Lonchura striata: one gene and its partner. The protein of the gene in region 1 interacts with the protein of each later gene in a pairwise test. Links are inferred from orthologs where the notes say so. Each region holds a gene or a part of one and is shown on either strand. Other genes may lie near its edges.

The links.
Region 2: the proteins of NPAT (region 1) and HINFP interact in a two-hybrid assay, tested with the Homo sapiens proteins (2 studies listed by BioGRID). The link is inferred for Lonchura striata from reciprocal best matches to the Homo sapiens genes NPAT and HINFP.

What each region holds. Positions count from the first base shown.
Region 1 is NC_134604.1:44,463,728-44,479,814, reverse strand, and holds the start of NPAT (protein NPAT), read left to right. Parts: upstream 1-8,445; 5' UTR 8,446-8,545; coding exon 8,546-8,582; intron 8,583-11,604; coding exon 11,605-11,723; intron 11,724-13,341; coding exon 13,342-13,402; intron 13,403-14,854; coding exon 14,855-14,927; intron 14,928-15,389; coding exon 15,390-15,433; intron 15,434-16,087. Other genes in the region: serine-protein kinase ATM, read right to left, coding at 145-240, 581-775, 1,304-1,675, 2,225-2,394, 2,629-2,792, 3,550-3,788, 4,067-4,232, 5,034-5,198 and 3 more. UniProt on the Homo sapiens protein: Required for progression through the G1 and S phases of the cell cycle and for S phase entry. Activates transcription of the histone H2A, histone H2B, histone H3 and histone H4 genes in conjunction with MIZF.
Region 2 is NC_134625.1:9,237,974-9,254,228, forward strand, and holds HINFP (histone H4 transcription factor), read right to left. Parts: upstream 6,331-16,255; 5' UTR 6,271-6,330; coding exon 6,108-6,270; intron 5,634-6,107; coding exon 5,407-5,633; intron 4,671-5,406; coding exon 4,559-4,670; intron 4,133-4,558; coding exon 3,980-4,132; intron 3,470-3,979; coding exon 3,392-3,469; intron 3,300-3,391; coding exon 3,179-3,299; intron 3,090-3,178; coding exon 2,951-3,089; intron 2,869-2,950; coding exon 2,744-2,868; intron 2,187-2,743; coding exon 1,673-2,186; 3' UTR 1,050-1,672; downstream 1-1,049. UniProt on the Homo sapiens protein: Transcriptional repressor that binds to the consensus sequence 5'-CGGACGTT-3' and to the RB1 promoter. Transcriptional activator that promotes histone H4 gene transcription at the G1/S phase transition in conjunction with NPAT.

The DNA of each region.
Region 1 (16,087 bases):
AGGTAAGTCTTATCTTGCATCAGAACAATTTAAACACATTTTAGTCTTATTAAAAAGAAACTTTGAATATAGTCCAAAGCATTGGTGAAAGATGCAGAAGCATTCCTAGCTTAAGTGCCTATAATGATTAATTTAAAAACATACCATTTAGCATCATTTTGGAAAAACATCATGGAGGCTCTGCAGTTCTTCATCGTAAGGCTCACAAGAATTTTTTGTAATACAAGATGAGGAAAATCACTGTAAGAAAGAAAATAATTTAATATTTTCTTGCAATCAGACAAACTCTTGGGATTCCTGAAGCACACACAAACATTGAGCAGATTAACAGGGTATCTTCAATGAAATTTAAGTTTTCACTGAAGATTTTTAATGCAGAGTTCATGTATCTACTGTGATATGGGCAGATAACCAAATTATATCCCCAAAATGACATTCTACAGGAAGCTGAAAAACCCTACAGACTCTGCTTAAGCTTTAATGTATCCGAATTCTGCATTAATATAATATGCTTTTACCTGCAGAATTTTTTGTGTTACAGGGGGAGCTTGCATGTAAAATTATGCCACAAAAACTTTACCTGAGGAGCACAGGAGGTAACTCTGCACATTCATCTATTTCTTCCTCCAAATTGCTGGACAGGAGCCATTTCATTATTGCCTCCCTTAGCACAGAACCCAGATTACTCTCAGAAATATTCTGTTCGATTCCTATGTCCAAATTTTCTGGCACTGAGTAGGCAGACATCACTAATGATAAACAACATGCAGCAGAACTGCAACAAAAATGAACAGGGAGAAACCAGGTGGTATTTGTTGATTAACACTCTAAAGCAAAGTGAGTATTTCTGCAGGCCCAAGAAGCACCAAGTACACAAGCAAGTTAAAAAGCATGCATACTGGTCTATTCCTTAATTAAAATCTTTGCTTTTTCTTGGCTGTTACAGACATTGCCTACCTATCTTAACGACTATATCAGAGTACTTATTTCAGAATAAAAATTCAGAAGAAAACATCCTTCTTAACTTCAAAAAAATCAACATTTGTCTATCAGATCTTTAAATTTTTAATCCATTTAAAATTTTATTATATTCTAAATGTGAAGATGCTTGTCTCTTCTGCCTCTGCTTTCAGTCTTTTTATGTATTTATGATAATTTCAAATGCTTAGAACACAAATGTGTGCAGTTTTTGAACAGAAATATAGTCACATCAACAAAAATATTGAGTAACACAGTTGTTTTGTTTGTACAGTAAAGAGAAATGTGAATCAGACACAAGACACTACCACTGATTCCATTTTACCTTGAAGGTTTGCATGCAGGTCCTGAAAATATTTTCCAGAGTTCTTTATCTGTTACAACAAGGTTCCCTTGAATCATAGCTCCAAGCAGCCCAAAGCTCTCCACTTCAATTTGCTGAAGGCTAACGCTGCGAATGGTAAGAGTCCAGATCTTTGCCCAGGTTCTCTGGAGCTCCAGCTTCTGGGTGCTTTTCAAATCAGTTCTCTGGTTTTGACACAAAGCTACCTCTGTGAGACACTTCAGCACATACGGAGTCCTTTCTCCTCGGCGCTGCTGAGGCAGTAACTGGTGAAGGACATTGAGTAAGGCAGGTAGCTCACTGCTAGGAATACTCGTGGGATACTTGGATATTAGCTGACTTGTAATCTGTAACCTTGAAAACAGAAAGTGAAGGAATCAATACCAAATATACAGAAATCAGCATTTTCAGAAGTAAATGAACAAACAAACAAAGCCTTCTTCAATTGCATTTCTCATGTACACTTTCCAGGATTGAGCTGATTTGTTTATTATCAAAAGTTAAAGATTCAGTATTTCTACCATTTCTACTTGTAAAGACTGTTCATCTAGCCTCACTATCACTAACAGTTTCTTACAGTTCAGAGGTCCCTCATGCCAAAAAAAAATACCCCTCAATCAAGGTCCAAGGTAAGAAGCCAGGCCTTGGAATAGTTTTCAGGACAGGTATTACAGAAAACTCTGTGAACTAGTCCAAAACGGCCAAAATCTTAATGGTTACTGTACTATGCCACAGCCAGCTTAGAGCAACTTTCCAAATGCTCTGACAATCTAAGTTCACTACTTAGATATATAATCACAGCGTGTCCAGACACCCAACTTAAAGGCACAACATATTCAGGAGACTGTTAAATGTAAAAAGATGTCTGGAGTGATACTTTTTTTCATGTAAAGATGTTATTACCAAGGTATGACATCAAAATCCTTCTGGGATCTTTGCACATTATCTCGAATGGAACCCCAGCCAAGCTCAATCCTCCTGCGCTTGTTTGACACCGTGTCCTCACTGGACTCTCTTTGTGAAACAGCATAGGACTGGGTAATTTCAAGGACTTTGGTATCCTCTGTAAAAACCTTTCAGAAAGAGAATTTGAGAAGTATGCAAATTAAAAAAAAAAAAAAAAGCAGCAGTCTTTACAAGAAAACTGGAATACTTATAGCCTAACAAGAAACACAAGCAAAATACATTTCTAAACTGTACAGAATTAACAAAACACAACAGATCACAGACAAAAGGTATGAATACTTCAGTCAAACATACAGCTCAGTAATTATGTAGTCAATCTTATATTCAAATAAAAATGTTACCTGATGACAAATATCAGCCATTAACTCAATTAAATTTTCCTTTACAGCAATATTACGTGAGCCTGAAGAATACTTCCCACGGCTACTGATGAGATTTATTTCATTCACCAGCAGATCATACAGGTTATGTAAGATGCTTTGCCACCTTGTTAAGTCATATGCAGCTGTACATGCAAAAACAATTAAAAGATAGCATCACCCATTTGACCCAATATGTAAACCTACCCAGACAATGCAAAATACAGACAAAATCTGAGTAAGGCAAACAAAGTTCAGCAAGTGCAGGCCTGAAAAGCAAATTCTATACATTAGAACGAATAAAGTAAAAAAGGGGAAAAATTAAGAAATAACTTAATCAGCATATAGAAGTAATTAGGATAGGAATTAAGTTTCTAATAAACAATTCTTCATCTAACTGGAAAGAATACAGTTAAAGGTAATTGATAGATTTGTACAAAGTATAAAAAAGAATTATGCTAGAACTACAATAAATCACGACAAACAAACATAATTACTGAGTTATATTCTCTGAGCCATTTTATAGTGTAAGTCAGAATCAACTGACTTATAATTTTTGTAAGTAATTTCTGGGTTTAAATAGATCTGGTAAGACACCAAATGTATTTGGCAATCTAAACTATTATTTCTTTTCCCCAAAGACTTGGTACTTTTATTTAGCAATTGAAACTGCCTTTTGATTAAAAGATGGCCCAACCTTTAAAGGAATTTAATACAATTAATATGCTCTCAGGGGATAAAATTTGAAAATTTCTTTTCACTTTCACTAAGTATTAACCTGTAGCATAAAACTACTGATGAATAATCATCACTACCATTAATGTTTCCAAGGCTCAGTATCAAAATTCAGAGTTGGCACAATCACATGCAGCAATTAAAAAAAAAAAAAGTTTTTTATGGTACCTCTTCCCTGAGATTTTGCACCCTTTGGATGATGAATATGAACTTGGAGACGAAATAACTCAATTATTGATTCTTTCAGGGAATCCTTTGGTCTATACTGAGTCCATATGTAAAGCACTGTAGGCAAAATTTCTTCCCCTACTTTGCAAATCCGCATGCGACAGTTGTCAGCAAACTTGTTGCAGAAGATATTCATTGCTCCAACAATATGATCCAGGCCTGCAATATTCCTCTCCTGCCTGTAACACAAACCTAACACTTAAACTTCCAAGAGAAATTATCTTATTTATTTTCATAAGTGCTGTTTAAATGTAAATACTAACAAGTAACAACATTCTGAATAGTATTTGCCTAACAAATGCAGCAGTTATTAATATTTTAGACAAGTTCCTTAATTGACATTCAAAGGTAGAAGAAAATACATCTGAAGAAGTATTACCTGTTAACACTCAAGTCTAATCCCGAGCACTTAATATAAGTTATTTTCTAGCATACAAAAGGAGCACTTGCAACATACCTTGCAGACTGCATTGCTTTTGAAAAGAAGGCAAGCATGTCAGAACACAACCCATCAGTTTGGAAGCAGTACCCTCTTGTAAGTGTATGAATTATCCTAGCCACTAAGACTCTATTAATGCTCCCTGAAGGTTTGAAGTATAAATGGCCATAGAGGGTCAGCAACTCTGCAAATGCATTAAAAAAATAGAGGTAAGTATAAACATATATATTACAGAGAATTACATTAAAAAGTCTTGACACAAAATATTGCATTAAAGACACAGAGACTACCACACTGTGGTCAACAGCTAGTATCCATGTTCTTACTTTCAACAGCAATAGATCTCTGATTTTATAAATAAAAAACCTGACTTCTCTAATGTACCCCAAGAGTTATGAGCAAGCATTAAGGTGGAATCACAAGAAAAGGTTATAGTAACCTTTACAAAGATTATATAACTCTCTTTTAATAAAAACAACTTGTTTCACTTACTGGATTAAAGTCTGACTTCTTCTAGATTTATGGCCTTCAGCCCTGCCTCACCTCAGTAACTAAATTCCACTGTACTCCTTAAAACCTAATGTCAACATTTCTTCTGCCACACTTCCCAGTTTTGCCCATACACAGACTCAGCTAACTTTCATGTTCCTAAAGGAACTAACCACCCCACAGCAAGCCCCACTGGCTCCCCATGCCTGTGTTCTCTTCCAGTGACCTGCGCAGACCATGCACACATGACCTGACCGTACAGAAGTACTTATGCTTCAGCAAGCAATAGACAAACAGTACACACAAAGAAAAAAAAATCAAATCCTAATCCTTGCTGCTTTGTTTACTTCAAGTGTAAGCCCACAGAGGCTGACACTGCTTTACTCCATATTTTCTGTACTACTTCACACAACAGGACATCAAACAAAAGAAAACACATCTAAAATATGTTTCTACAAAAGGAAAAGACATCTCTAAGTAGGCTCAAAAATGTTACCTGACCACTGCTGCTGGGATATCTCACACCAATATTTCCTTACTGAGACGATATCCTTTAGCAGTATACTACTACAGTCAGAACCATAAGCAGCACAACTTATTGGATCTCTTATTATTTCCATGACATAAATCAGAAGTTCCTGACATTTCAGTCTGGGTCCTCCTATATGAAGAAACGACATGAGACTATTTAATTAACACAAATGCTACCAAATAAATCTGTAATTAATTGTTTGTAAATGTTACCAATTAAAAAAAAAACAAAACAACACCAAACTTACAGTTCTGAAACAGTTCTATGAGGAAATATTTTCTTAAACTGTTTCTAAAATATAAATTACCAGTGGGAGGATATATCAGTTATAGACACATTGAGTAATTAGAAAAAGGCACTGTGAACACCAAAAAGGACAGATAAGGAGCACAAGTGACAGATTCACCTTAAGATATTTAAATAGCAAAAACCTGGAAGCAAATATGATGAGCCCTACATTGGTAACTTCAAAGATAAATTCAAAGTTGAAAGCAAAGTACCAAACCAAACCAGTATCTCTATATGATAATACGTATTACTGACGTTTATTGGCACATCTGATGAAATATTTGACCAAACTTCCAAATTCTTGTATTTTTTTCTGTCTTGCAGTTTGGGTTGAAGCAGATGCATTTGGTTTTGTCAGTTGCAGGTTTTTAAGTTCTTTCTGGAAATATTTCTGCAAGACACTTCAAAAATAAAGGAGAGATTAACCAAGGATCTGCTCATTTATGACTGAAGTAAAATAGGAAAATGTTGGTTTAGGCTAAAATGCCAGTTCCTGTTCTTCTCACAATTGTGATTATCAAAGACTAAACCCAACTGAAATACACTACAGTCCAAGCATGACTGGAAAACAGCTTATAAAAGGAGACGCAAGTTTTAAAAATAACCCATAGCAACTTGGAGTAGGAATCAAACTTTCCTTTAAACTTTGCACAGTGCTAAACATACAACTTACAATTAAGAAAAAAGCATTGCTAAGTATTTTTATTTATGCTGCAACATTATAAAACAAAATAATAAGAAGTATTTATCATTGCTTTTACTGCAAAAGCCTTTAAGTCTTATTTCCTTATAATTCGAAGTTAATATATGGATTATGTCTTAGATCTATGAATAAATTACACTTTTCACGGTATTTGTCATGTAATTGCTATAGATTTTCTGGCCTTCTATTTAAATTCATGTCCCATTCAAGAAAATTGTGACCATTCACAAACAAAACCAAGAAGCTACCTAAATACAGCATCCCAGTTGAGTTGCTTTGCTTGTTTAGAATCAGAATTCCGGTCCAGCTGGAGAACTGTTTCAGAATCACGGAGAAGTTGCTTGAAATTTTCAATTTCCTTCTGAAAATGTATTACAAAAAGAATAATTTGTTATGATTCCCTTCATTGCGATTTGAGGTATACTGCCCAAAAGAAAACTTGTTACCCTTCGCTCCACAGCTTTCTCATTTTCAAGGCGACGACAACAAACCAGCAGATCATGTAATGCAAGACTCATGGTTCAGCTTAAAGAAGAGTCATTTATATCTGCACACAGAAGAAATGGATAAAATAGTAATTATTGACCATGCAGCCCAGTAAAAATGTATACTGAAAGTCCAGTATCAAACAGAACCACGATGTTCAATGTTTCACCAAAAAGCTCATTTGCAGCTGGGTCAGTCTTATTGGTTGAAAACTCAAGCAGTTTCATGTCAAGAATGCGATCTATTCCCACAGACAACAGTCACAGAATAACTGCAGAGAACCCCATCACATAATTCTGACTTCCTCCCTTTCCCATGAGCGCTGAGTAGACCTGGGCAGACAATTGAGAGGACAATTATAGTAAGAATGACAGAGCTAAATACACTCTGGCAAGTGGACCTAACTTTCAGTAGCCCTCTTAACCTGATACTGCCAGGAGAAGGCACCGCCTGGAAAATGCTCCCTCACATTGTAAATTTTCATAGGTATGCACTATCTATTGATGAATCCCCAGGGACTAAACATGCCAAAGGATGATTAAGTATCAGTCATATGAAAAAACAACTTTTCCTTCTGTCATCACTTAAAAGTATGCTTCTTCTTCCATAGAGGTTTGAATTAGCTAGACCTTGTATTACATGAAGTTACGATGTTGCAGATCAGAACCATGACATTCTATTTAAATCCTCTGCTTCTACTTTTGCACCCTTAAAGTAGACTCAAGAGAAACCCTGTTTGGAAAAGACAGATCACACAAGCTGGAAGTAACTCCAAACACGTGCTGCTGGATGTAATAAGCAAGGGAGAACAGGCATTCATGATGCACAGCACTGCATCTTGAGTGCTTACATGACAATACAAAAATCGTCATTTAAATAAGCAAAACTTTAAATATCTACTGTCTTAGACTGCATTTATTTCCTTTGGTGTCAATCAAGATCAGGCTGGAACTAAGTAAGATCAGAGATTCGGTGACTCATAGATGTGTGTGAAAAATAATACATTTTAAGTGTGAAGGCTGCCTGTACTGCACAACCGCACTTATTTAAATTAAATGTTCCTTTACTAAATTCAAGAACCATCCTGAGTTGGAAGGGACGCACAAGGATCCCCTAAGTCCAATTCCTGGCCCTGTGCAGGACGCAAGAATCACATCAAATGCCTGAAAGAGTTGTCCGAGCAGCTCTTGCAGTCAGGCAGGTTGGCGCTGAGAGCTCTTCCCTGGGGAGCCTGCGCCAGCGCTCAACCACTCTCTGTCCCTCTGGTGGTTGGGCACCGGAACACAAAACAACCCAACCCAGCAGACTCGATGCTCTTGCTGGAAACGAAACGGAAACAAACTTTTCAAACACCCGCGGCTTCTGATGCGCTTGATCGAAAACTGCGGCAACAAGGGTCGTCTGCTGCCAACAACCATAACAGCAGCACTGAGAAATTCCCAAGAATGAATCCACGTACTCTTTCTCTTGCTGATTAGTTTTCCACCTATCCCATGACGGCCGCCTTCCCGCGCACATGAATGACACATGGGAAGGCGGGCGCACCAAAACCATGAACGGCGGAGAGAGGAGCTGGCGGAGGCGCTGCGAGGTGCCCCGGCACGGGCACGCAGGCAGCGCCGAGCGGCAGCCCTGGCCCCGGCAACCCCGCCAGCCCCGGCCCCGGTCCCGGCAGCCCCGGTCCCGGTAACCCCGGGCCGCCGCCCCTCAGCGCCGCAGCCGGGGCCGCGGCCGCCCCGCCCGGGCCCAGCCCCTCACCTCGGCCGTGGCGCTCGCAGCCCCGCTCCCGGCGGGGCGCAGCGGAGCGGGGCTCACGCGTGGAAGCCGCGGCTGCGGGCGGACCTGGAAGCGGATGAGCGGCCGCGGCGGGTTCCGGCGGAAGGGGCCGGGCGCGGCGCTGGCTGGCGGAGTTTCCGCGCCTTCGCCTGGGTGGCGGGGCGGCCGGCTGCGCCCGCCCGTGCCCCGCTGCGCCCGCCCGTGCCCCGCTGCGCCTCGGGCCATGCTGCTGCCGTCCGACGTGGCCCGGCTGGTGCTGGGTGAGTGAGCCGGGAGGGACGGAGGGATGCCTGGGTGAGGCGCGGAGCACCGGGAGGGCTGTGCCGGGCATTGTCAGCCGCCCGAGGCGCGGCGGGACACGGCCGGCTTCGCCCTTGCCCCTTGGCAACGTCTCTTGGTCCCCCAGGCTGGATTGTCGCTGCCGGCGTTTATACCGGGCGCTGCTGGGCCGGCCCGCCGCCCCCCGGCCCGGCCTGTGCTCGCTGCTGGGGGATTCGGGGCTGAGCGAGCAGGCCGCTCCCCAGCCGTGCCTTGGGCTCGGCTTCTTGGCGAGTCCAGGGAAACGTGGCGGTCTGCGGTGCCCACCTGCACACCGAGAGCTGCTGAGCCGTGCTTCAACAGTTCCTGATTGCAGGAGTCCAAGCGTGACCCGAAATCCCAGGGAGGGCTGCGTTAAGGGTCAGATGGTTTTTCTTTTCGACCGTGTTTCGCTCACTTTTGAGGATGCACTTAAGAGTTCAGACTCGTGATCAGAGTCTATGGAAAGCACTGCGTAAGTGTGTTCAGGACACTGGTAGCAGACAGTGAATCTTTAAAAATGACTTTATGCTTTGGATTATTTGGATTCTGCCAAAGGTGAGAGCAAATTGATGGTAAGGAAAAATATGACTCACATATTTCAGTCCCACATGTACAAAGTACTTATTGGCACAGGTTGCCATGATTTCCTGGCAGCTTGCCCTGTGAGATTCAGTTTTCAGTTTTTTAAAATCCAAAGACATTAAAACTGAAACTCTTCTTAAGTGTTCCCCTAGCACAAGTTATTTTTAAATACTACCTGAACTGTTGCTTGCTACTGTCTTGAGAAAAAGGCTAGTGAGAGATGCAATTTTTTTATTACTGTGAAGTAACAGGATTTTTAGAAACTCCATGGACTGTAAAAGAAAATTTGAATTCATACAAGTGAGATCTCTCATTGCGCTCTTCCAAACAAGATTGGTGAAGTTACAAGTTTCCAGGTAGAAAGCTTTTCTTATGTGCTTACCAGCAACCTGAAGATGTAGCACACAATCTTGGCATCCTGTGTGCTGAGAATGATCCATCCTGTCTTGTGTCTGTTGTGGCACGGAGCATGCATCATGTCTGGAAAACCTCTGAGCAACCTAAAGTTGCAGAACAGGACATTCCTTGTAACCATTTTTATTCTCTAATAGGGATTCCTCTTCTGTGAGACATCTCTGAATTTCAGTGGTAAATAGACTTCCCAGTGCAAGCTCTTCCACCTTTCTCCCCCAAGCCCCCCACAAAATCTTTCTGGTGCTGTGAAAGTTGATGAGTATTTGTTAAAGAAACAAAACTAAAATTATAAGCTGAGCTCACACACAGGATATGCATAAGAACATTTATCTTTTCCTATCTGATAGAGTGAATGTGTACTATGGGTTAGACATTTCTTAAGGTAGAGCAAAATATTGAATAATTTCCATACATTCAAAATCTACGTAGGACACCTTTTGTGCCTTTGATTTTGGTGTCCTATGTCATTATACAGTGTGTGCACAAGCAGTTTGGGCCAGATGCACAGGCATTTTTAGCCTTTGAAATGCTTTATTACCAGGAAACTGGTGTATGTCAAACGTGCCCGTATGCAAACATTCGGTCATCACTTGTGATACTGTAGTAGTAGGTTCAAGAAAGAAAAACGGCAACTTTTTTTGTTAAGTGTTCAGGTAAGGATGATTGTAAGAGCAGTCATACCTGCACAGATCAGAGCTCCTCTGAACCTAATACCCCATCTTCCAGCCTGGACCATAGTGAGATATCATTGTGTTTGTGGAGAAATACACATTCAGCCACTTGTGGCTCGAGATTTTTCTAGGAAAAATGTAATTGAAAAATTAAATAGGATATTCCTTTTCTTTCTGCAGGCACTACTGATGTTTTCTGTCAGGTCAGGCCTGCTTTTACATTGTGATTAAATTCACAGTGGGTATTCCCAGGCTGTGTTTAATTTTCAAGTTTGCCTACTTGTTGAAGACATGAACAAGACTTGCATGATGGAAATACTATTTGTTTTCTTCAGCTGTACTCAGATCTGCTGAAAGATATTTGTTCTCATTTAAACGGCACTTAAAGGGCACATTTTTCTGCAGGTATTCATGAACTGAGGTGGAGCATTTTGGGGGTCCATTGAAATAGATAATGTATATATCCTGCGTTGTACAACTAGGCACATGTTTTATTTTATCCTTAAAACATTCCATGCTAAGCTCTGCTAGGAGCGAGAAGGAAGAAACATTTTCTCTGTGTTTCTTTGTTTTAGAATCCTTCATTCAGATTGGTCTATTTCTATCTTTTAGTGTTTAAGGTGTTTGAAGATTAAAGCAGGGTTAAAATGTTTAATTAAAGCAGAACATATTTGACGAAAAGAAAACTTTGTCAGTACATTTTCTGTGATGGTAACTACTGATTCATAGGGTGTAGAGAGCAAAATTTGCATCTGGTACATCTATCCTAAATGAAAATTTCTGTAAGTGTGTGGGGGGGACCTTTTCTGTTACTAATTTTTGTACAGTGCCAATATTTTTAATATATCTTATCCACTATTGCAGCAGCTGTACAGGTTTTACCTATTTTGAAACAGTACAATGTGTGGAGAATTACTCTTACATAGCAAGGTGTTTCATTAACAAAATATTGTAGATTTCCATTGAAGTATCAAATAGGGTGGTTCAGCCCATATGAGGGTTTGTTTGTCAGCCTTCTGAGCTGAGAACATTTATTTTCTTGTGTGTAAAGATAAACTAAAATTTGTTCATATTGCCTCACTTCCAGTTTTGAGTACTTTGAAAATACAATGTCATTACAATCTATATTTTTTTCTCTTCTGGGTTTTAACTGTTAAATATCTGGTAGGAACGTATGTATTTTCAAAATAATGACACTTCCCTTTTATTACATGGAAATTTTTATCTGATTATTCCAGCACTGTATTCAGATTTGATACCTATTGAGCAGAAATAATGAATGAAATAGCAAAATTTTCCATCTAATTTGTTGCAGGCTATTTGCAACAGGAAAATCTTCAAGCTACCTGCCATCAATTTATTCTGGAAAGTTCAGATTTGAAAGAATATGCAGAGCACTGTACAGAAGATGGTTTTATTCCAGCCTGCTTGCTGGTGAGTTTGTATTTGCAAAGCAGAAACTTACATTGTCTTGCATCCATGGAAAACAATATAGTGGATTTCTCAGTGCAACAATTAATTCTCAAATGCTGCTTAAAATGTTTGATATTTGATTTGTTTAGTGTTTTTTTCATCCTGTGATATTAGCAGTTATTTGGTTTCTAGTATTTATGCTTACTAAGAAAAATGTAAGCGTGAAATATGCAAATTGGTTTCAGAATATTATGCTTAGGCTGCTTTACAGCTTTGAGGTTGATTTATGGAAGGGTGTTGTCACAAGGGTTTTCTTGATTTTAGGGCTACTTCTGTAATTTACAAGATCACTTTCCTATTCTAGGCATGGCAGCCAATAATTTTCCATTTCAGGTGCATTGTAAGTATTTAGGTAAGGCACCTCAGATTTATTTAAGTCTAACAAATTTGATTGACAAAAATTGTGTTCAGCCTCCTCTCTATTTGATATCATCTGCATTGTTCCGGGTGAAAGGCAGGATTTTGGGTGTGCATAAATAGTGTGTAGCCACATCTCTAGATACATGTGTAGAGCTCTAGACCATAATTAGATAGTTTGCATTTTAAACAAATTTACAAAATGGAATTTTTACTATACTTTGTAAATCACAGGATTGAGGTATTGCTGTTTGTCAAACCTTTTGTGTTTATGTGTGTGTTCTGTTCATGTTTTCTGTTTCATTCTTCTAGTATATTAGTTAATTTCATTGTCTGGGACTTTGTCCATAGTATTCATAATTCGTGGAAGTTTTTTCCTAAGGTCCAAGGTGCACCTTCTTGATGCACCTTTTCAAAACAAAGTATTGAATTTATTTTATTTACAAGTGTTCAGTTATCTGCACTTTGGTGGTAGGGGGTTGAGAACCAAGCTATGGCCAGCAAAAATTAGAAAACCTATAAAAATATAGATATAGGTTATCCAGATTAATAAAACTTTTTATAATCATCCTTTTCTCAGTAGAAATGTTCTTCCTATTATTCACCTAAAAGTGATATCATAGTATCTAAGACAAAATTCTTACTGCAACTCAAATACTTGCAATAAAGTGCTATATTTGTCATGTCTTGTAGAGTTCCCACTAGTAAACAAGAGAGGAAGGTACAGAATAGTGGTAACTTTAAAATTTTAATTATCTTTGTGTCACTTAAAATAACAGGACAAGTAAACATGATAAGAAGGTTAATTCTGTGTGACTGTTAAAAATTTTGCTTCAGACAGGTTCCTTCACGTTTCCATCTTAGTGCATGTTGTTTCCCAGCATGATACATAGTCATTAGCCTGTTACTGCTCATCAGTAACAGACAATGATCATCATGCTGTTCATAATCTAATTTTCATGGTTTTATTCAATAATACAAAAAAGATGAGTGAATGTCAGACAGCTCTAACTACCAGTGTTGTGCCTTGAGATACAGTACTTCTCATTTTGGGTATATAAGAGGATTTTGTACCATTGATTGCTCTCTACCAAGTACAGTCCCTTGTACTGAGGGTCAGCATGGTGTAGACTGTTGAAGAGCTCCTTAAATATGATGTGCTACAGCAGAGGAAGTAGAAGTTATTAGTGAAAATTCTAAGATCAGTTGGTTTTTTTTCCAGTCGCTGTGTGGAAAAAACTTGACAACAATTCTTAATGAGTACGTAGCCATGAAAACAAAAGGTAAGCCTTCAGAATGAGGTGTTCTTTTATTTTTATTTATGTATTGTGAACTTGAGGAAGAGGTGTATGGTCTTAGAGTAATCCCCCATTTTAGGCACAGTTTTGAAGGTTAACGTATTACGCAGCCAACAGTCACTACATCTAGTGAGCAAAAGTAATTGATTATCTTAGTTTGCATATGCCAGCATATATTTTTACTTCGAATGTGAGCATTTTTATATCTCAAAAGCATAGAGATATAATGTGCAAAATGTATGGGTTTACGCTTGTGAAATTATACTGTTTATTGTTCATACTATTAATAGGAGGGGGAGGTGCTTATCTCTCTGGTGACCAGCAACAGAATGTGAGAAAAATGAAATGCTGTGTCAGGAGAAATTCAAATTGGATCTTAGGAAAGGGTTCTTCACTGAGAAAGTGGTCAGTCACTGGAACAGGCTACCCAGGGAAGTGGTCATGGCACTGAGCCCTGTCAGAGTTCAAGGAGAATCTGGACAATGCTTTTTGTCACACGGTTTAGAGTTTGGTAGCCCAGTGAGGAGCACGGAGTTGGGCTCAATGATCCCTATGGATCCCTTCTAACCTAAGGTATTCTATGATTCCATGAAATAATCAGAAGGAGTCCTATGGTATGAAATATTTCTTGTCTTATTTTTAAGACTAAAATAGTTTCAGAACTACTTAATATTTTGTATGAATATTATAGGCAGAGCTAGAGCATTTGCTGGTTTTGAAATTAGTTATCAAGCTTCTGAATGTTTCCAAATCTTACAGGCTTTTGATATCTGTTGTATGATCATATTTTAATGGTGCTTGGTATTAAAAATCATACATGGAACATTTCTGAACATTTTTTTCCTTTCACACTAGGTTTGACGGAAATGGTAACTAAGATGCAGATGTACTTCCTTCAAAATGCTTTGTACTTAGCATCTTGAAAAACTTAATAAATTGAATTGTTTACTTATCTTTTCCATCACACTTCTAATGTTTGGTGCTTCAAAAAGACCAAATGTTTTTACCTGTTTGGGTAATATAATGAAATAAACTATTACTTTTAAAGGCCTGTCTGCCAGGTTATGATTTTCAAAGGCACAAAATTGACTTGGGAATATGATTACCATTTCCAGAAGTGAGTTGGGGGGTATTAGCATAGGTTAGGTTAGCATGTGTTTCCTGAGGAGACAACACCATGTGCAAATTCCTGCAAGAATTATAGTAATTAATTCAGTTTCATCAAGGCTTCTAAACCAGAACTGTATCCATGTCAATCAAAATTCTTTAAATTAGGAGTTATGGCTGTCTAATAGAAAATTAAGAAGGCAACTAAACATCTAAAGTTAGATGATGTCTGAAACACTCCATAATAATTATTTTGTTTGTGATTTTACTTTTCTCTCAGCATATATCAGTTTTGGGCATAAATTAGGTTTTTTTTATGGTTCATTTTAGAAACAACAAATGAAGTTCCAGCAATGATGTCATCGCTGTGGAAAAAATTAGACTATACACTTTCTCAGATCAGGTAATGTAGTTTTAATTAAGAAAGTAATATTTCACTCTAAAAGTGAGTCCCTATGTAGACCAACTTCCCTTATCATTGTATGAGAATGGTTAGCTCTCTGTTTCCTTTGAGAGACAGTGAAAAAGATGGGTATGTTAGAGTTAGTAGTTGAGCAGACATTTAAAAATTATAAGGAGGGCATTAGTGTGAGCATGTTGTCTTCCTATAATAAAACAATACACTATGACTCATTTAGAATCTGATACCTTTGTGGTTACTTGATCAAAAATGAAACAGTAAGCTTCACTTGAAGGATCTGTGACGATTGTTGGAAAGAATAAAAAAAGTAACCAATGGATTTTTCTGAAGGAATGTGTGGTTAGGATCAGACTGACATTAACCATGTGGTAGGTAATGTCACACTGTATAGCTGAGTGCTTCCATTATGCTCCATTAATTTTTGTTACTTGCTTTATTTTTTAGGAGCATGCAGAATTCAGATTTCAGATTTTCTTCTAACCAGAGGAGTAAGTAACGGAATCAATTCCATGGAATCAGTAGGTTTTATGTTAAAATTATCTGTTTCAGCAAAAAATAGGGGTGTATGTAATGTATGTCTGCTGTCTTCAGTGTGGTCTGTGGATTGCTGTAATGATCAGGAAAGGAAAATAAGAAAAGATGAGCTTTTTCCTAGGGGCATAAATTCTCTATTATAGCATTTTCTCTGCTGAAAAAACTCCTTTGGAAGTTTACATGGTTAAAAGGTTTAAAAACTACTGCTTCACTCCTGAAATTGCTGACTTAATTTGTGCTTCGTAGATGAACTAAAAACATAGCTGGTCTAATTATAATGCAGTTGGATTTCTGTAGAAGGGGAACATAAAAACATATTGCAGTCTTGTAGCATTTGTCATACATACAAATATATATCCAGCCAAAATACAAAAACATACTTGTTGTATCTAAAGTTGTTTCTTTCATTACAAAAACTGAAAATAAGCTATCAACAAAGAAAAATTGGACTACTTAAAAATAAGTTTTTCTCTGTAGTATTTTTACTACAGAGTATTTTATAAGAAAAGAGAGTGTGAGCTATAGATACTGATTGTTCCCAGATTTGAGATTCATTGGATTGGGTGGTGTTCTGTTGTTTAAATTTTTTAAACAGATTTTGTATGAAT
Region 2 (16,255 bases), on another chromosome or scaffold:
ACAGGCACATTCTTCTCTCTCTCAGGATTTTTTTCATAGAGGAGCACAGAGGAAAGAAAAACAATTTCTATTTCTGCTCCTTGTTTTTCCCATGTGGAATGTGTTTAGAGAATTGCTTACCTGGGGTGATGCTTGGTTGGATTCTGGTGAGGATTGTTTGAGCCTGGTGGCCAATCCAACCTCCCTGGGGCTGGACTCTCAAAGAGGGGCATGAGTTGTGAGTTAGATATGGGAGTTAGTTAGAAAAAATAGGTTTGTAGTTTTAGTATCTCCTTTAAATAGTATATTAATGTATTACAGCGTAGTTATAATAAAGAAACCATTCAGCCTTCTGAGCTGGAGTCAGACATCAGCATCTTCCTGTCAATCCACTGGATTCACCTGAATTTACAATCCTAACCCTGAGCCCAGCTCTGCCCCAACCAGGCAGGGACAGGAAGGCTGGGCAAGGCAAGTGCCCGGGGCAGGGATGCTCTGCCTGGAGCAGGGAGCAGCCTCCAGCAGTGCTGTGCTCTCACAACACTCCTGCCTCTCCTCTGGAGGTGCTGGGACCAAGGGCTTTCCCTCAACACCCCGAAATTCCAGCAGCTTTTGCTCAGCTGCTCCAGAGGGAGCAATGGGGAAAAGTCAGTGCCCAGCCAAGAGCAGCAAGGTGCCTCCCTGTGCCCCCCATGGCACATCACCTCCACACACAGGGCAGGGAGGGCCTAAATGGCACTCCAGGGACCCCAAATTCACCCTGTCCTCGTCCAGCCACTCCAGTTCACCCTGTCACTTGTCCCTCTGGCTCTGCTCACAAGCCCAGGCTACTCCATGTTGCAGCCAGCCCTGGGGAGGCAGCAAAACTCAGCAACACGAGTGGCAGAGCTAAACCCAGCCCTGCAGTGCCACCTCTGGGGAGCAGCACGCTCCAGTGCCAGCTGCAGAGCGCCAGGAGCGCCTGGCAGCTCCTCGGTGCCCACCTCCCACGCTGCACCAGCCCAGTGCCATCCCCAGCCCAGCACGGCTGGCAGGTGCAGGGCTGAGCAGAAAAACACAGCAAACACCGCTGGGCCTGGCAGCCTGATGTTTATTTGTCTTGCCAAAGAACACTTTGCCCAGCCAGGAGCCCAAACCCCAATGTGGGGAGGGCAGCCAGGGGATGCCAAAAGCAGCAGGAAGCTCCCAACGTCGCGGTGCTGCGCTGGCCTGCACAGCTCCAGCACTGTCCTCCCAGAGAGCAGGGCTGGGCTTGGGATCAGGGGGGCAAACACCACCCCCAGCAGCAGGGGAGGCAGGAAATGTGTGCAGGACGTGCTGATGAAGGTGTGACACCCCCTGGAGAAGGAAGGGCTGGGGCAGGACAGGCCTGCCAAGGGCCACACGTTCCCAGCAGCAGAGTGTGCTCCACACCCATCCTGCCTGGGGAACACCTCACAAGGGCACAGCTGCTGAGCACCCCACCCTGCCAGGCCTAGGCCAAACCCCCCAGAAGGGTGGGAGAAGCTTGAGAGGCTGCAGTCCCCAAAAGGAGGAGGCAGACAGCTCTTTCCAGCTCAGATCACTTGATTCACACCCGGGACGTCTGTCCTTCCCTTCTCACATGCTGACCAGAACCAGCAGCCAGCGAGGCTGGGCTGGAGGCAAGCCCAGCCCTGTCCCCAAGCATTCCAGCAGGCTGAAGGTCTCCACCTCACAGGATCTGGATGCCCAGCTCCTCAGCTGTTTTCTGCAGCCTGTCCATGACGTTCTCCTCCAGCTCCAGGGCCGGGGCTGCCATGCCCTGCTGCTCCGAGGCCGTGCTGGCCATCACGTAATAGACAGTCTCACTCTGGCCCTGCTCGTTGGTCCTGCTCACCACACGGATGATGGGGCTGCTGGTGCTGCTGGCTCCTTGCTCTGAGGAGGAGGAGGAGGAGGAGGAAGCTCCTGGGAAGGGGCTCGGCCGTGCTGGCTCAGGGCTGGGAGCAGAGCACAGGGCTGGGGGCACGGGCAGCTCGGCTGTGCTGCTCTCTGCTGGGGCAGGGTTTGCTGGAGGCTCCAGAAGGATGCCCTGCAGGCTGCCCTCGCCCTCGGGCAGCACCACGCTGGGGCCATCCAGAGCCTCGCCACGCTTCTCCCTGTCCTGGAGCAGCTGCTCTGTCAGCTCCACGCTCTCGTAGCGCACCAGCTGCAGCCTCATGTAGCCATCCTCGTGCTCCCTGTACCTGGGCACAGACAGGAGGGGTCAGCCAGGCACAACCCCCTTCCCAGGAGATGGGCAACAGCCAGGAAAGGGCACAGCAGCTGAGGTTTCCATCCCTGTGCTGCACAGATGCTGTTTCAGCCTCTACCCCCATGTGGCAGCTTCAGAGCTTTGTGCCAGGCTCAATCCCCTCCCCAGCCCCTCTCTTTCCACCACTCTGTTTCACCGGGAGCATTTCAAGTCCTTCCTCTTCCCCTCCCAGCTTTCAGGCTCTGGAAACCCTTTGGAGTTTCCTCCAAAGGAAGCAGAAGCTCCTGTGCCAAGATGGATCCCTGGAGCTGGCCCCTGCCCAGCTCAGAATTGTCCCACAGAGGCAGCAGTGATGGCACCACCGCTCTGGAGCTGCCAGGCAGCGCTGCTCAGATCCCACTGAACATTTACTGCCCAGTGCCTCCCAGCCACTGGGAAAAGGGTCTTGAGCACATCTGCAAACATCAGAGCCCAGGCACTGCCAGCACAACGCAGGGTGCAGCTCCTGCACTGCAGAGGAGGCACCGAGCAGCTAAAGGTGAGCAGTACCTGAAGCGAGGATGTCCCGAGGGCCATTTGAACTGGTGCTTCTTCCTGAGGTGGACAGTGAGGTTGTTCCCCCGTGTGAAGCACTTGTCACACACGTGGCACTTGTACCGCGGCTCGGAGTCACCCTGAGGGACACAGAGAGCGACATCAGAGACAAAAAAAAGCTGAGAAGACTGACAGGGGGCATCACGAGCCATGGCTTCCCACCTCGTGGACCTTCCTGTAGTGCAGTTTGATGGAGCAGAGGGAACGTGCAGAGAAGCTGCAGGCCTCGAACTCGCAGCGATACGCCGGCTCCTTGCTGTGCGTGTCCAGGTGCTTCCGCAGGTCGATGAGGTTCTTGCAGCTGTGAGGGAGCAGAGCTGCAGCACACACACCCCCACACACCCACAGAGGCTCTGGGAGGTCGGGGAGGGGGCCAGCACTGGCCCTCACCTGTAGTCACAGTAGTCACACTTGAAGGGGCGCTCCTCGCTGTGCCGGAAGCGGATGTGGTTGCGCAGCGAGGAGGGCAGCGGGCACGTCATGTCGCACAGGGGGCACTTGTAGTGGTTCACTGGGCCAAAAACGGGGAGGAAACATCAGCCCAGAGCAGGGCAGAGCAGCCAGCCCACGGGAGCTGAGCTGGGAGCTGGGGCCTGCACTCACCGTGGTTCCTCATGTGGTCGCGGAGCAGCCTCTCCGTGGCAAACCTCTTGGAGCAGTGGGAGCACTGGAACCTCTGCTCTGCACAGGGAGGGCACAGGGAGAGCAGGGCAGGGAGAAGAGCACGGAGAGCGGCGAGCAGAGCTGTGCCAGGGGGCTGGGAACCCTGCTGGGCAGCCCTGGGTCCCCACAGGAGGAACAGCCCCCATCCTGCCTCTGCCAGGAGACACTTCCCGGAGGACACGGCCTCCAGCTGGGCCAGGGGAGGTTCAGGTGGGACATCAGGAGGAATTTCCTTATGGGAAGGGTGAGCAGATGCTGGAAGGGGCTGCCCAGGGAGGTGGGAGAGTCCCTACCCCTGGTCAGGGCACGGCTCGGCTGCCAAGGTGGGGATCAATCCCAGGCTGGACTCAATCTCAGAGGTCTTTTCCAGACAAAATGGTTCTGGAATTCTGTGGCTCCCACCACTCAGCAGCCAAGCCAGGCTGCTCCAAGCACACCCTGCCCTTGGCTCACAGGGTACAGACAGCTCCAGCCACCCAAAGACCCCAGCCCAGGACCCCCCAGCCCCTCCCTGCCCCCGGGGCTTACGCTCCAGGGCGGTCTGGCGGCGGATGTGGTCGAAGAACTTGGTGTTGTTGGCAAACATCCCCCCACAGGTGGGACAGGCCACCACCTTCTCCTGCGTGTGGCTGCGCAGGTGCTCCCGCAGCTTGCAGCGGCCCTTGAAGCTGCAGTTGCAGTCTGGGGAGGGACAGCACAGCTGAGAGCCCTCCCAAGGGACATAGCCTCACTCAACAGCAGCTTCTTCATGCTGTTTTGGCCAGCAAAGCTCCAAAATCCCCGCAGGGCAGAGCGAGATCGGCACGGTGCAAACAGTGTGGGCTCCCCCCAAGCAGTTAAGGCAATTGCACAAACACAGGAGGAATGAATGAAAGAAATCAAAGTAAAAAAAAAATCAGCTTTTCTCAAAGGTGGTGATTACACATAAATAGGAATCACTCAGCTGGATTCGCCGAGGGAACTCCTGCAGGAATATTTCACGGTCAAAACCATGAAATTTGAAAATCTGCTTTTGAAGGCCAAGAGGCTCTCTGAAAGCTGCTCCCCTGTACGTGTTTGCCACCCAGCCCAAAGCTCTCAGGAGAGGCCCTGCAGGCTCCCACTGACCTTTCCAGCCACAGAGCAGCACGTGGTTCTCCTTCCCTGCTGCCTTGTACTCGGAGCAGAAGCTGTGATCCTCCACGTGCCGGTAGAACCACTCGGGGTTGTCAAACGACCTCTGAGGGGGGCAAGGACAACAGGACAGGGTGAGAGAGAGCACAACAATCCAGGATGCTCCCACACAGCTGCAGAGCCAGCAGCTGGGCAGCTGTGCTGCAGCACTGTCGGGGTCTGCTTGCTTGGAATGACCCCAAAGTCATAAAAGTCCTTGTTCCCCTAGCCTGGCAGCTGAAGGAGAGGTCTGGAATGAGTGAAGTTGAGTTTTCCAGGTTGTTTATTCTTTCTGATCTATAAAATTCTCTCTCTGACCTGCCGAGCTCTGCCTGGTACAGAAGCCAGAGCAGTCTCCCCTGAGCCTCGGGCAGCTCCCACATCAGATACTCAGAATTCCGTGTTGTCTATTTACAGATTTGTGCCAAAGCCCTCCACCTGTGTTAGACTGTGAATCTCTGCCTTGAACCAACAGAAAAGTGTCACCAGCACAGCAAGGCATGGAGGGCAAGAGAAAGGGAAAAAGGCGGGGACACCCCAGATTCCTCCATCTTGTACCCCTGAATTACATCCTAAAACAAAATTCCACTTTTCCACCCTATGTCAATTCAACTACCACACTGCTCAAACCCTTGTGGTTTGTAACTCCTCATACAGAGTTGGCAGCTTTTTCCATGGGCTAAAATGGAAGCCACAGGTGGTTTTGACTCCGTGCCAAGGTCTGGGGACAGCCAGAGGGAAGTCCTGGGCTCTGAGACTGCCCAGCAGCACCTCCCGTGTCCCACAGAGCCCCGTGCTGTCACCTCACAGTACTCCCAGAGGCAGAGGAAGTCCTCCTGGATGTCAGGGATGATGTTGTGGCTCTGGAAGTCCAGCTGGCAGGGGCTGAGCCCCGCCTGGCCCTGCAGGGCCCGCAGCCCCCACTGCTTCAGCTTGCTGTGGTAGCAGTGGAAGTAGACGTGGCGCACCAGGTCGGCCGAGCTCGCCGGGGAGCAGAAGCCACAGCCCTGCCACAGGCAGGTGTACTCCTCTGGAATGGACAGACAGACAGACAGATGGCTCCTGTGGGACACAGACTGACTGACAGACAGACGGACAGCTCCTGTGGACACAGACTGACTGACAGACAGACAGACAGATGGCTCCTGTGGGACATAGACCAACAGACAGACAGACTGCTCCTGTGGGACACAGACTGACAGACAGACAGACAGATGGCTCCTGTGGACACAGACTGACAGACAGCTCCGCTGGGACAGACAGACAGACAGACAGACCCCAACCTTCCCTGGGCACCCCAAACCTCCCTGGGGACTCCAACCTTCCCTGGGCAGCCCAACCCTCCCCGTGCAGCCCCGCCGCCCTTTCCGTGTGGAAATTCCCCCTCAGGTCCCCGCTGAGCATCCCCGGGCGGCAATGCCCTCCTGCTGCCGTTCCCCGCGGGCTGTGCCCTCCCCTCAGGGGCCTGTTCCGAGCCCCCGGAGCCGCCCCGAGCCCCCCTCACCCAGCGGGTCCATCTGGGCGCGCTGCTCTCCGGGCAGGTGCTGCCGCAGGTGCTGCGCCATGTGCCCGCAGAACTCCTCCATCCCCTCCGCCGCGAACGAGCACTGCTGCCACTCGCAGCGCAGCACCACGGCCGCCTTCCCGCCGCCACGGCCGCCCGCCATGGCCCGGGCCTGGGCGGGGCTCCCGGGATCGCCCCGAACCGGCCCCGAACCGGCCCCGGCCGCGGCCGCGGCCTGCTCCGCCCCACGGGGGACACCGCGAGGCGGCGCACCGCGCGCGCCCGCCCGCCAATCAGCGCGCGGGGAGCCGCGGCCTGCGCGCAGCGCCCGAGCGGCCCCGGCGGGAAGCAGCGCTACGCCACAAAGGTTCCCATGCGCTTAATTCCTTAAGGAAATCCCTTAGGAAATCCCTTAGGAATTCCTTAGGAAATTTCCTTGGGAAAAAGCCGGGCAAGGAGCTGCGAGCGCTCCTCACTGACAAAAACCTCTGCCCGCCCATCCCTGGGTGTGTCCCAGGTGTTGGGGTTGGGAAAATCCGGCCCCGGGAGCTGCGAGGGTTCCTCACTCTCTGCCTGCCCATCCCTGAAGTGTCCGAGCTGTTGGGAAACACAAATTTTAAGGAATTTAGAGATTTTAGAGGAGATAAAACTTACAATTTAAAGATTTTAGTTAGAGATTTACAATTTAGACATTTTAGTTAGAGATAAGTCTCGCTAGAGTTCATTAAAATCAACGAGTAGGCCTCGATGAAGTTAAGGCTTAGTAGTTAACTAATAATTGCTTGTCAACACAATGTTTAGTTAGCTGGGTTTATAATGAAGAGTATAAAAACTGAAAAACAGCTTTTAGGAACACGTGAAAAATGCGTATTTTATGATTGGCTTTTCGCAAATATTATAATGAATATTATATGTGTAATGTTAGAAAGTGATGCTGTATTAATTCTCTTAAGTAGCATGTTAAATACAGTTTCAGGCTCCAACATCATGTTAAAATAGAGACTATGGATGTGGGGGGAATTCCTTGCAAATTAAGAACTTTTCTGGGTTTTGTGAACTTCTTCCCCTTAACCCTGGTGGTTCCATAAAGACAGAGAGGAGGTGGAAGGATGTTTGTCTGTTCTGATAAGGAGGCAGAAACTCTTTAGGTGCCCTGTCGCTGTTATCTCTGTGTGAAGAGTTTCTTGATTATCTCATCCCTTTCTTGAGCTAGGAAAAAATATATCGCAGAGTTTCTATTTTAACATTGTGTTGTAACCTAAAAATAGATTTTTAACACACTATTTAAAAAGGATTACTGCAGTATTACAAACTAACCCTCCACAACACATATAGAATTCAATTGAATATTTGCCAAAAGCCAATCATAAAATCCGCATTTTTCACACTGCCCATGGCAGCGGTGGAACGGGATGGGCTTTAAGGCTCCTTCCAACCCCAACCATTCCATGATTCCGTGATAATTTTTGGTGCTTCCGGAACAATTCCATCCGTAAACAAATCCTCACACTGAAAATCCATCCCTGGGTTGGTTCGTCCAACAGCAAACACAAACCCCACCAGTTCTGCAGCTCTTTGCTGTGAGATAAAACAACAAATTCCCTCTGCTCCCTCATCAGGTGGAATTAAATTCACATTTACTGTCCCAGCTGCTCTTTGTTACACACAGCAGAGGCACAGCTCCCAAAATTTGCTTTGGCACAGGTAAATGCCCTTTTAAAAAGGGTTTTTAATGGTTTAAACCCATTTTTGAAAGGGTTTTTAAGGGTTTAAACTCCTTTTAAATACTATTTTAAAGGGTTTAAACCCCTTTTCAAAAAGGGTTTTAAAGGGTTTAAACTCCTTTTTGAAAGGGGTTGTACAGAACGTGCCCAGGGTGTGTCATGCCAGGACACAACAGCTCCTGCAAATCCCACCACATCCCTACGGAAAACACTGCCCAAACCCACCAAAGTATCCAGAAAATGTGGGTGTGAGGATTTTTGAAAAGAAAACACCAGGTGAGAGGTTTGCATCTCAAAGAAGCCTGCCCGAGCTTTTGATCTCTGTTTTCAATGGATGGATCCTTGCTTTTTGCACCATTAAATGTGTCCTGCATCCTTAAAGAAAACGGGATCAACACTTTCTTTTTATCCCATAAAATGTGTGCTGCATCATTAAATAAAATGGGATGGATCCTTTCTTTTTGCACCATAAAATGTCTTCTGCATCCTTAAATAAACAGGGATGGATCCTTGCTTTATACCCCATAAAATGTGTCTTGTACCATTAAATAAAATGGGATCAATCCTTTCTTTTTACCCCATAAAATGTGTCCTGCATCATTATAAAAAGGGATCGACCCTTTCCTTTTGCACCATTAAACATGTGCTGCATCCTTAAATAAACAGGGATGGATCCTTGCTTTTTGCCCCACAAAATGTGTCCTGCATGCTTCTTTCTCAAGCGACAGAGTTCATCCCTGTGCTGGGCAGAGCCCCTGGGAGCAGCAGGAGGAAGAGCAGGGTTTTACCTGATGGCCCCACGAGCTGGCAGCAGACTCCAGCGGGAGGGAGATGGAACTGGGAGCAGCAGCCCGGTGCCAGGCTGCCCCTGCTTTTTCCTTTTCCTTTTCCTTTTCCTTTTCCTTTTCCTTTTCCTTTTCCTTTTCCTTTTCCTTTTCCCTTCCCTTCCCTTCCCTTCCCTTCCCTTCCCTTCCCTTCCCTTCCCTTCCCTTCCCTTCCCTTCCCTTCCCTTCCCTTCCCTTCCCTTCCCTTCCCTTCCCTTCCCTTCCCTTCCCTTCCCTTCCCTTCCCTTCCCTTCCCTTCCCTTCCCTTCCCTTCCCTTCCCTTCCCTTCCCTTCCCTTCCCTTCCCTTCCCTTCCCTTCCCTTCCCTTCCCTTCCCTTCCCTTCCCTTCCCTTCCCTTCCCTGGCAGCTCCTGCCCCAGGCACAGCTGGAGCTGTGCAAAGCCCAGAGCAGCCTCTGGGCTCCCAAAAAGTCAGAATTCCTGCCCAAGGGAGACCTCCAACACCCCGTGGGGGTCTCACACCCACACAGGAGAAAATGCCCATCCCAAGGCTTGTTTTCCCTGACAGATTCCTCAGCTGGAAGAAAACTTCCTCACTGCAAGGCTTGCCAGCATTTTGCTTTGCCACGAGGTTTTTCTGCCCAGAAACCTGCATTTTTCATCCATGAAATGCCAGCTCAGACAGGAAGGAAGCTCCTGGGGAAGAACCCACACTGACCATGCAAAGTGGAGCGAAACCCAGATCCAGGGATTTGCATTTAAGCAAATCCCAAGCGAGGTATGGTGCTGGAGACATCCCTAAATTCTAGAAAACCCATTTCCGCCAGGCTCAGCTGGAAGTGTCCCAGGGAGTTGTGAGCACAGGCTTCACTCTGCTCTGGGAAGCTCATGAGGGACAGATCTTCCCCAAATTCCTGCAGGATCCGGGAGCTGGGACTCGTCAGCAGCACCAACAATGGAAGCAGGTGAGTTCCAGCAGCTCAGATCTCCACAAGCTGAGGCATCTTCATGGCAACATCAGGGAAGGAACAAACTGTGCTATCCTTGGGCTCCTATTGAAAAAAAAACCCACAAAAATTTGTCTAGAATAGACATGTGACATCTTAAATGCCCCCAAAATTTAATAGTATCAATTAACGTGTTCTGCCTTCTCCAGATTGAATTTATATTCCTTCACAGTGCTATGCTTTATTATCATTATTTTTTTTTTCAAAAGGCAGTTAGATCAAAGTGATGTGAAATTGGATTCAATTTGCTTGGAAATTATATCAACTCAGGCCTAAATGAGTATTTTCTTCCCTGGTGCTGCCAGTGGAAGAGTTGTCTGAAGTTCTGACAGCTCAGCACCAGAAACCTCTGGATAATCCACTGGAAGCAGCGGGTTCAGCTGTGTGATAACTTCAGCCTGGGGTTAGAGGGGTTGAGTGTTGCTGAATTAAAACAATTTGGGCAGAGGAATAATTGAGGATGTGATGTGAGCTCCACAGCCCAGAGCAGCAGAAGGGTGTGGAAGTGATTTTCTAATGCCTTCAGAGCACAGCAAAGGTGTCAGGAAAACCTGCAGAGCGCCAGACCTGCTGGAATTCCTCTGTGAGAGCTGATGTCTATTTCTGAACCACTTTTGTTGCATTTTTTTGGGGTACTCTCACCTCATTTTTGGCAATCTGTCCCTTGCTTTGTGTTTGCTTTGTGCCTGGCCTTGGCTGAAGCTCTTTGATCAGCACTCAAACACCAAAATGAAATGCCACTCGCCCAAACTTGCAGCTGCTATGCCCCCAAAAACTTAAAAAATTAAAAAAATTAAAAAATTAAAAAAATAAAAAATTAAAAAAATTAAAAAAATTTAAAAAATCAGCAATTTGGCCAAGCCAGCAGTGCGTTGTTTAAACCCTCTCACCTCTCTTGGTGTGTATTGTAAATGCACGTGAACCCAATGGGAAGAAATGACAATGCCTGACTCAATTCAGAAGGCTGAATGATTTCTTTATTAGAACTATGCTAAAATACATTAATATACTATATAAAAGGAGGATACTAAAGCTACATACTACTTGCTCAGACTCCAACACAACTGGTGACCCTCTCTGAGAGCCCAGCCCCAGGTGGGTTGAAAAGCCAGGGAAATCTCAGGAAAACGGGAAGCTGGACAAGACAAACAGATCTGAACCAATGTGGTTAATCAAACCTTCTCCCTTTATTGGAGATAAGATGGCAGTTTATACCAGCTCCTACATAGTTTACAAAAACAAAGACACTCTGATTGGCACACTAGCATCATTTAACTTTTCCTTAAGGTGGTCAAACTTTTCACACTGCAGCTCTGCTCTAATTCACGCTCGGATAGCTGATTACTTTGTAATTACCTTAACATAATTTCTGACTGCACCACGACTGAATTCTCACTGCATCAAAGGCTTCGAGGCCCCATCAAGGCTGCTCATCAGGCCTAGTCTGAGTGGGTAGCTCAAACCTCCTTCCAAACATAAATCATGATTTCCGTCTCTCAGAAATTCTGCAACAGGGTTGGGTTGGCCACCAGGCTCAAACAATCCTCACCAGAACCCAACCAAGCATCACCCCAGGTAAACAATTCTCCACACACATCCCACACGGGAAAAACAAGGAGCAAAAATAGAAATTGTTTTCTCTTTTATTTCTCTCTGTGCACCTCTATGAAAATCCTGAGAGGGAGAGAATTGTGCTGCCACAGGTGCGCGAGGCCACAAAGCCACCAGAAACGGAGCCAAGGGACACGTCCTGAGGGGCAGGAGAGCCAAAGGCCAAATCCTGGGGATCAAAGGCATCGCCTGCCTCTGCCTCTGCCTTTCCAGGGATTAGCTTCAAAGGCTGGGAGGATTTTTCCGGGATAATTCACGGGGAAGCTCCTCCCTGGCTCCGCAGGTGCGAGCTGCGTTCAGGGCAGGATAAAAAAGCAAAGCTGTCCCTGCATTGTCCCGCAGCTCCCACCCGCGCCACAGCCCGCAGGTGCTGCAGTGCCTGGCGTGGGCGGGATGATGTGCTCCGACTCCCCTTTCATAAAGGAATTTGGAAATTAATGAAGTAAATTGTTTTCTTAAAGCAATTTTTTCTTTAAGCAAAATTTTGCTACAGTAAATTTTTATTAAAGTAAATTTTTATTAAATTTTTATCAAAGGAAATTTTTATCAAAGTATTTTTTATCAAAGTATTTTTTATTAATAATAAAAAAATAAAATTAATTTTACAGTTTAATAAAGTCATTAATTAGCCTTCTGAAATACTATTAGTGTATATATTAGTACTATATGCTAATATATATATTAGTATATAGTACTATATATATACTTATATATATATATTAGTATATAGTACTATAAATACTAATATATATATTAGTCTATATTATATATATAGTACTATATACTATATACTATAGTACTACATACTAATATAGTACTATAGCATGTATAGTACTATATACTATATACTATAGTACTATATACTAATACATTAGTACTATATACTAATATATACTAATACACGAATAATATAATATCAATACTACATTAATATAGTATAATACCGTTTAATAAAGGAATTAATTAGCCTTCTGAAAATCCTATAATTAATATATGATATATAATATATAATATATAATATATAATATATAATATATAATATATAATATATAATATGCTGCTATATTATAATATTTATTACTATTAATAATACATTGACATTTTATATTCTAAATCACTTTTCGATATTTTCTCTCTATCTATTTCTATATATGGGAATATATATTATATATATATGTAATAATTTCTATGTCTAGAAATGGATATCTTTTTGGATGACAACTCTTTCTTTATTTCTAGTATATTTTTTATACTTTATATCTAGTATATATATATATATATATATATATATAATATTATATATTTTTATACTTTATATCTGGTATATATAATATATATTTATATATTATATATATTTTAATATTTTATATCTAGTATATATATATATATATATATATATATATATATATATATATTTTATACTTTATATCTAGTATATTTTATATATATTTTTTTATATATTATATATCTATTTTTAATACTTTCCCCTGCCTAGCAGGAGCACAGACTGCTGCTCCGGGCGCCCTGTACTGCCCTGACCTGTGCCTTTGCTCAGTCCCCGCAGAGTTTGGCGCCCGGGTGTACCAAGGAGTGCGAGTGAAGCACACGGTCAAGGACCTGCTGGCTGAAAAGCGCTCCCGGCAGGGCAGCGGCTCCCGCTGCAGCGTGAGTCCTTTTCCCTTTTTTAACCCCCTAAAGTCCCAGCGTCCCGCCCCCTGCTTGCATTGGTCATGTAATGTTACTGTAATTCATTTAATTTTAATGTAATTAGTACAATGTTAATGTAATTAATAGAATGCGTGCCCCAAAACATTGCTGATGCCTCCTTGATTTCATATCTGTCTGTCTTAAATATCCCCTTAATTTTCCTTTTTTAATCGTGGCAATGCTGTTCAATTCCTCTTTCACATCCTACGTGTGACGCCTTCCCAAATTAACGCTGGTGGGCCAGGGGCAGGCGAAATGACTCGCACGATTTCAGAAGGCAAATGAAAGTTTATTCAAAAAGCGCTTCTCTCTTTTATAGAGAACATTGTGAACATTAATTCCTTTGGTCTTAGAGTAAAAACATTTCACCTGATTGGCGCACTGGACTTAGGTCAGTGTGGTAGAACATCCTATAAACCATATGAACAAACAAGATAATCAATGTTTACTTTCCTCTCAGACTTTTCCCCAGGTTTAGCCTGGCAGAAATATTTCTCTTTTTCTCCCTGACTGAACTGAGAATATCCACACCGAGTCGACTTCCTTTTCCAGCTACACCTGCACAAGTCAGTGCCCCGAAAATATCTGTTCTTCCCCAAAAGCTGAGCTCCTTCCAGCTCCTCTCCGAGTGCCAGGGATGTGATGGGCTGGAAAGAGGCCAAGCATCAGCCTGGAAGGGATGATTTCCTCTTAAAGTGCTTCTATGGCAACAGGAAACCCAAATCCTACTGCACTACATTGTTTTTTTGCTTTTTTTTTTTTTTTTTTTTTTTTATTCTCAATTGGCAGCCACAAAGCCAGGCTGTCCCCAGAAGGGGACACAGCACGGTGATGCCAGGATGTGGTGGCATCCAGGGGCACGAGGGGCCCTTCCCTGGGTGCTCCTGGCACTCACCTTTGCTGGGCAGCAGCTCCTCAGTGCCTGGGAGCCCGGGGATGCTGCCAGAGGAGGGGGAGCAGGAGCTGTGTCCTGCAAGGAGAGACAGGGAGCAGAGCCCCGGGTCACCGGCAGCACAAACTGGGAGTTCTGATGTTTTTTTCCCCCAAACCATTTACCTCTGGCTTTTTTTTTTATGCTGAAGAAGCCTCACGGGGATTTACTTGCTGTGACTTTCAGCTTCATTGACTGTGTGACAAAACAGGCAGGAAAACAAACAAACAAACAACAAAAAACCAGGATTGGGCATCACCAAACACAGCAAAATCCAGCCACAGATCCATCCCCACAGGCTTCAGCTGCTGCAGGGAGGCAGAAAGCCCCAGAGCCATGGAGAGCCACTGGGGAGGACACACTGCCAGCAGGCAGATAATGAATTTAGGAGGAATTCCTGGGGAGCAGCTGAGAAAACAGCTCCTGTTGGTGATATCCCCACGGACCTGCTCCCTCTCTGGAGGCGGCAGCTTCAACAGCCCCAGGGGAAACGACCTGGAACTGTAAAATCCTCCTGGCTTTATTGCCCTTGGCTTTGTGCTGCAGAGCCCAGCAGCTGAGCGTGTCTCTCTGATGCAAAACCAGCCCTGCTGCTCATTGCCTGCAGGAGACAGAAAATGATTGTGCAGGGCAAACATCCGTATTTGCTCGGATGAAAAGAGCAGCTGGAAGTGCAGCTCTGTTTGTCGGGCAGAACCCAGCCCAAAATCAAAGGCAGGGGCAGGTAACTGAGCACCCCTCTGCCTGTTGGTGGTGCAGGGTAATTCAGCTGCTTCTTTTGCTGGAGGGTGATGTTTGCTGCAGAAAGAAACGGTGAGTGATGGAGATCAAGGTGGGCTGTGAGGAAAGCCACACAAAATCTGGGCTCTGCACCACCTGCAGGGCTGCAGCCTGGCCTTTAGGGAGGCTCTGGCTTTTCCTTTGCACAGGTGTGAAGCTGCACTTGTCCTCCTCAGGGTGAAAGGGTTCCTGTCTTCTCCGAGGTGTGGAAGTGGGCACCTGCAGAGGTGAAGCAGTGCAGTGCTGTGGTCCAGAGAGGATTCATTGCTGAGCACCCAGCAGCACTCCCAGAGCAGGGACACACAGCCAGCACTGCCCTGCCCAGGCTCAGCTTTGATTTTTGGAGAATTTTTATTCCTTCAGCTGCTCCACTACAGACTGGGCCCAGAGAGGTGCTGCCCTGAAGCCGAAGCATTGCCACGGGGCAGGGCCAGGTCATGATTTGGAGCTGGATGCTTAAATTTCAGGCAGATTTTTCGGTGAGTTAGGAGGCAGTGAAGCAGCAGAGCTGTCTGGAGAAGCCCCAGGCAGGATCTGAGGCTGGCCATGGGCAGGGCAGGCTGAGCCCAGCTTACCAACAGCTGGACACACTCTGGGCCCCGGGGAGGCTGAGCAGATCCAGGCTCCCCATTCCCATGGCAGGGAGAAGAAGCAGAGCCGGGAGGAAATGAACTAATGGCTCTCAATTAAGGCCAGGAAGGAGCAAGGAGGGGAATGAAATGCAGGGCTCTGCTCTGATGAGGCCAAGGACGGGCTGCAGCAGAGGCTCCTGCAGTGATTTCAGGCAGCTAAAGCCCTGGTAGCTCCTGGCACCTCTGGGACTCTCCACCACAGGTGTGCACACACGGCCAGGCAGTTCCAGTGGCTGTTGAACAGACAGGATCAAAGATTAAATGCTCTGGAAATTGGAAATGATCCCTGCTGGAGGCTGCCAGCCATGCCCAGGGGCCTGGGCAGAGCATCCCAGCTCCCATCCCTGCAGCAGCTGTGCTGCCTGGACCTGCCAGCTTGGCTTTCTCCTCTAAAAGTGACCTGGATGCTGGGAGAGGACCTGGATTTGCATGTGATGGCTTCAGCTGGGGAGAGGTGCGAGCCCTGCCCGTGTGACAAGGACACTCCTCTGTCCCCAAGCTCTGGAGCTCCTTCCTGACACCTCCTGTCCCCTCCTGCCACCTCTGCAGGCTCAGAGCTGATTTCCCTGGAGGAGCAGGGAGCAGCTGCAGACCTTCCCTCGGCAGGAGAAGGAAGTCCTCAGGGCTGGCAAATTTAATTCAAATCTAAACCTCTAAATTTGGTTGCCTGCTGCGGCAGGAACCTCCTGTTTGCACTATGCAAACTGGACAGAGCGTGCCATCAGCACTGGCCAGGGCACAGCAGAGTGACACCAGTGCTGCTGGGGGCTCTCTGTTCCTGCTCTGCGGGCTTGGAGCTCCCAAAACCACATTTCAGTGGGATTCCAGAGGAGCAGATGCCTTTCCAGGGTGCTTTGGAAGGATTTAGGCACTGGGAGCACCAAGGTTACTCCAGGGGTAATTCTCCTTTACCCAGGGACCAAGAGGAGAGTCTGATGATTAATAATATAATTATTATCATAACCATTGTCGT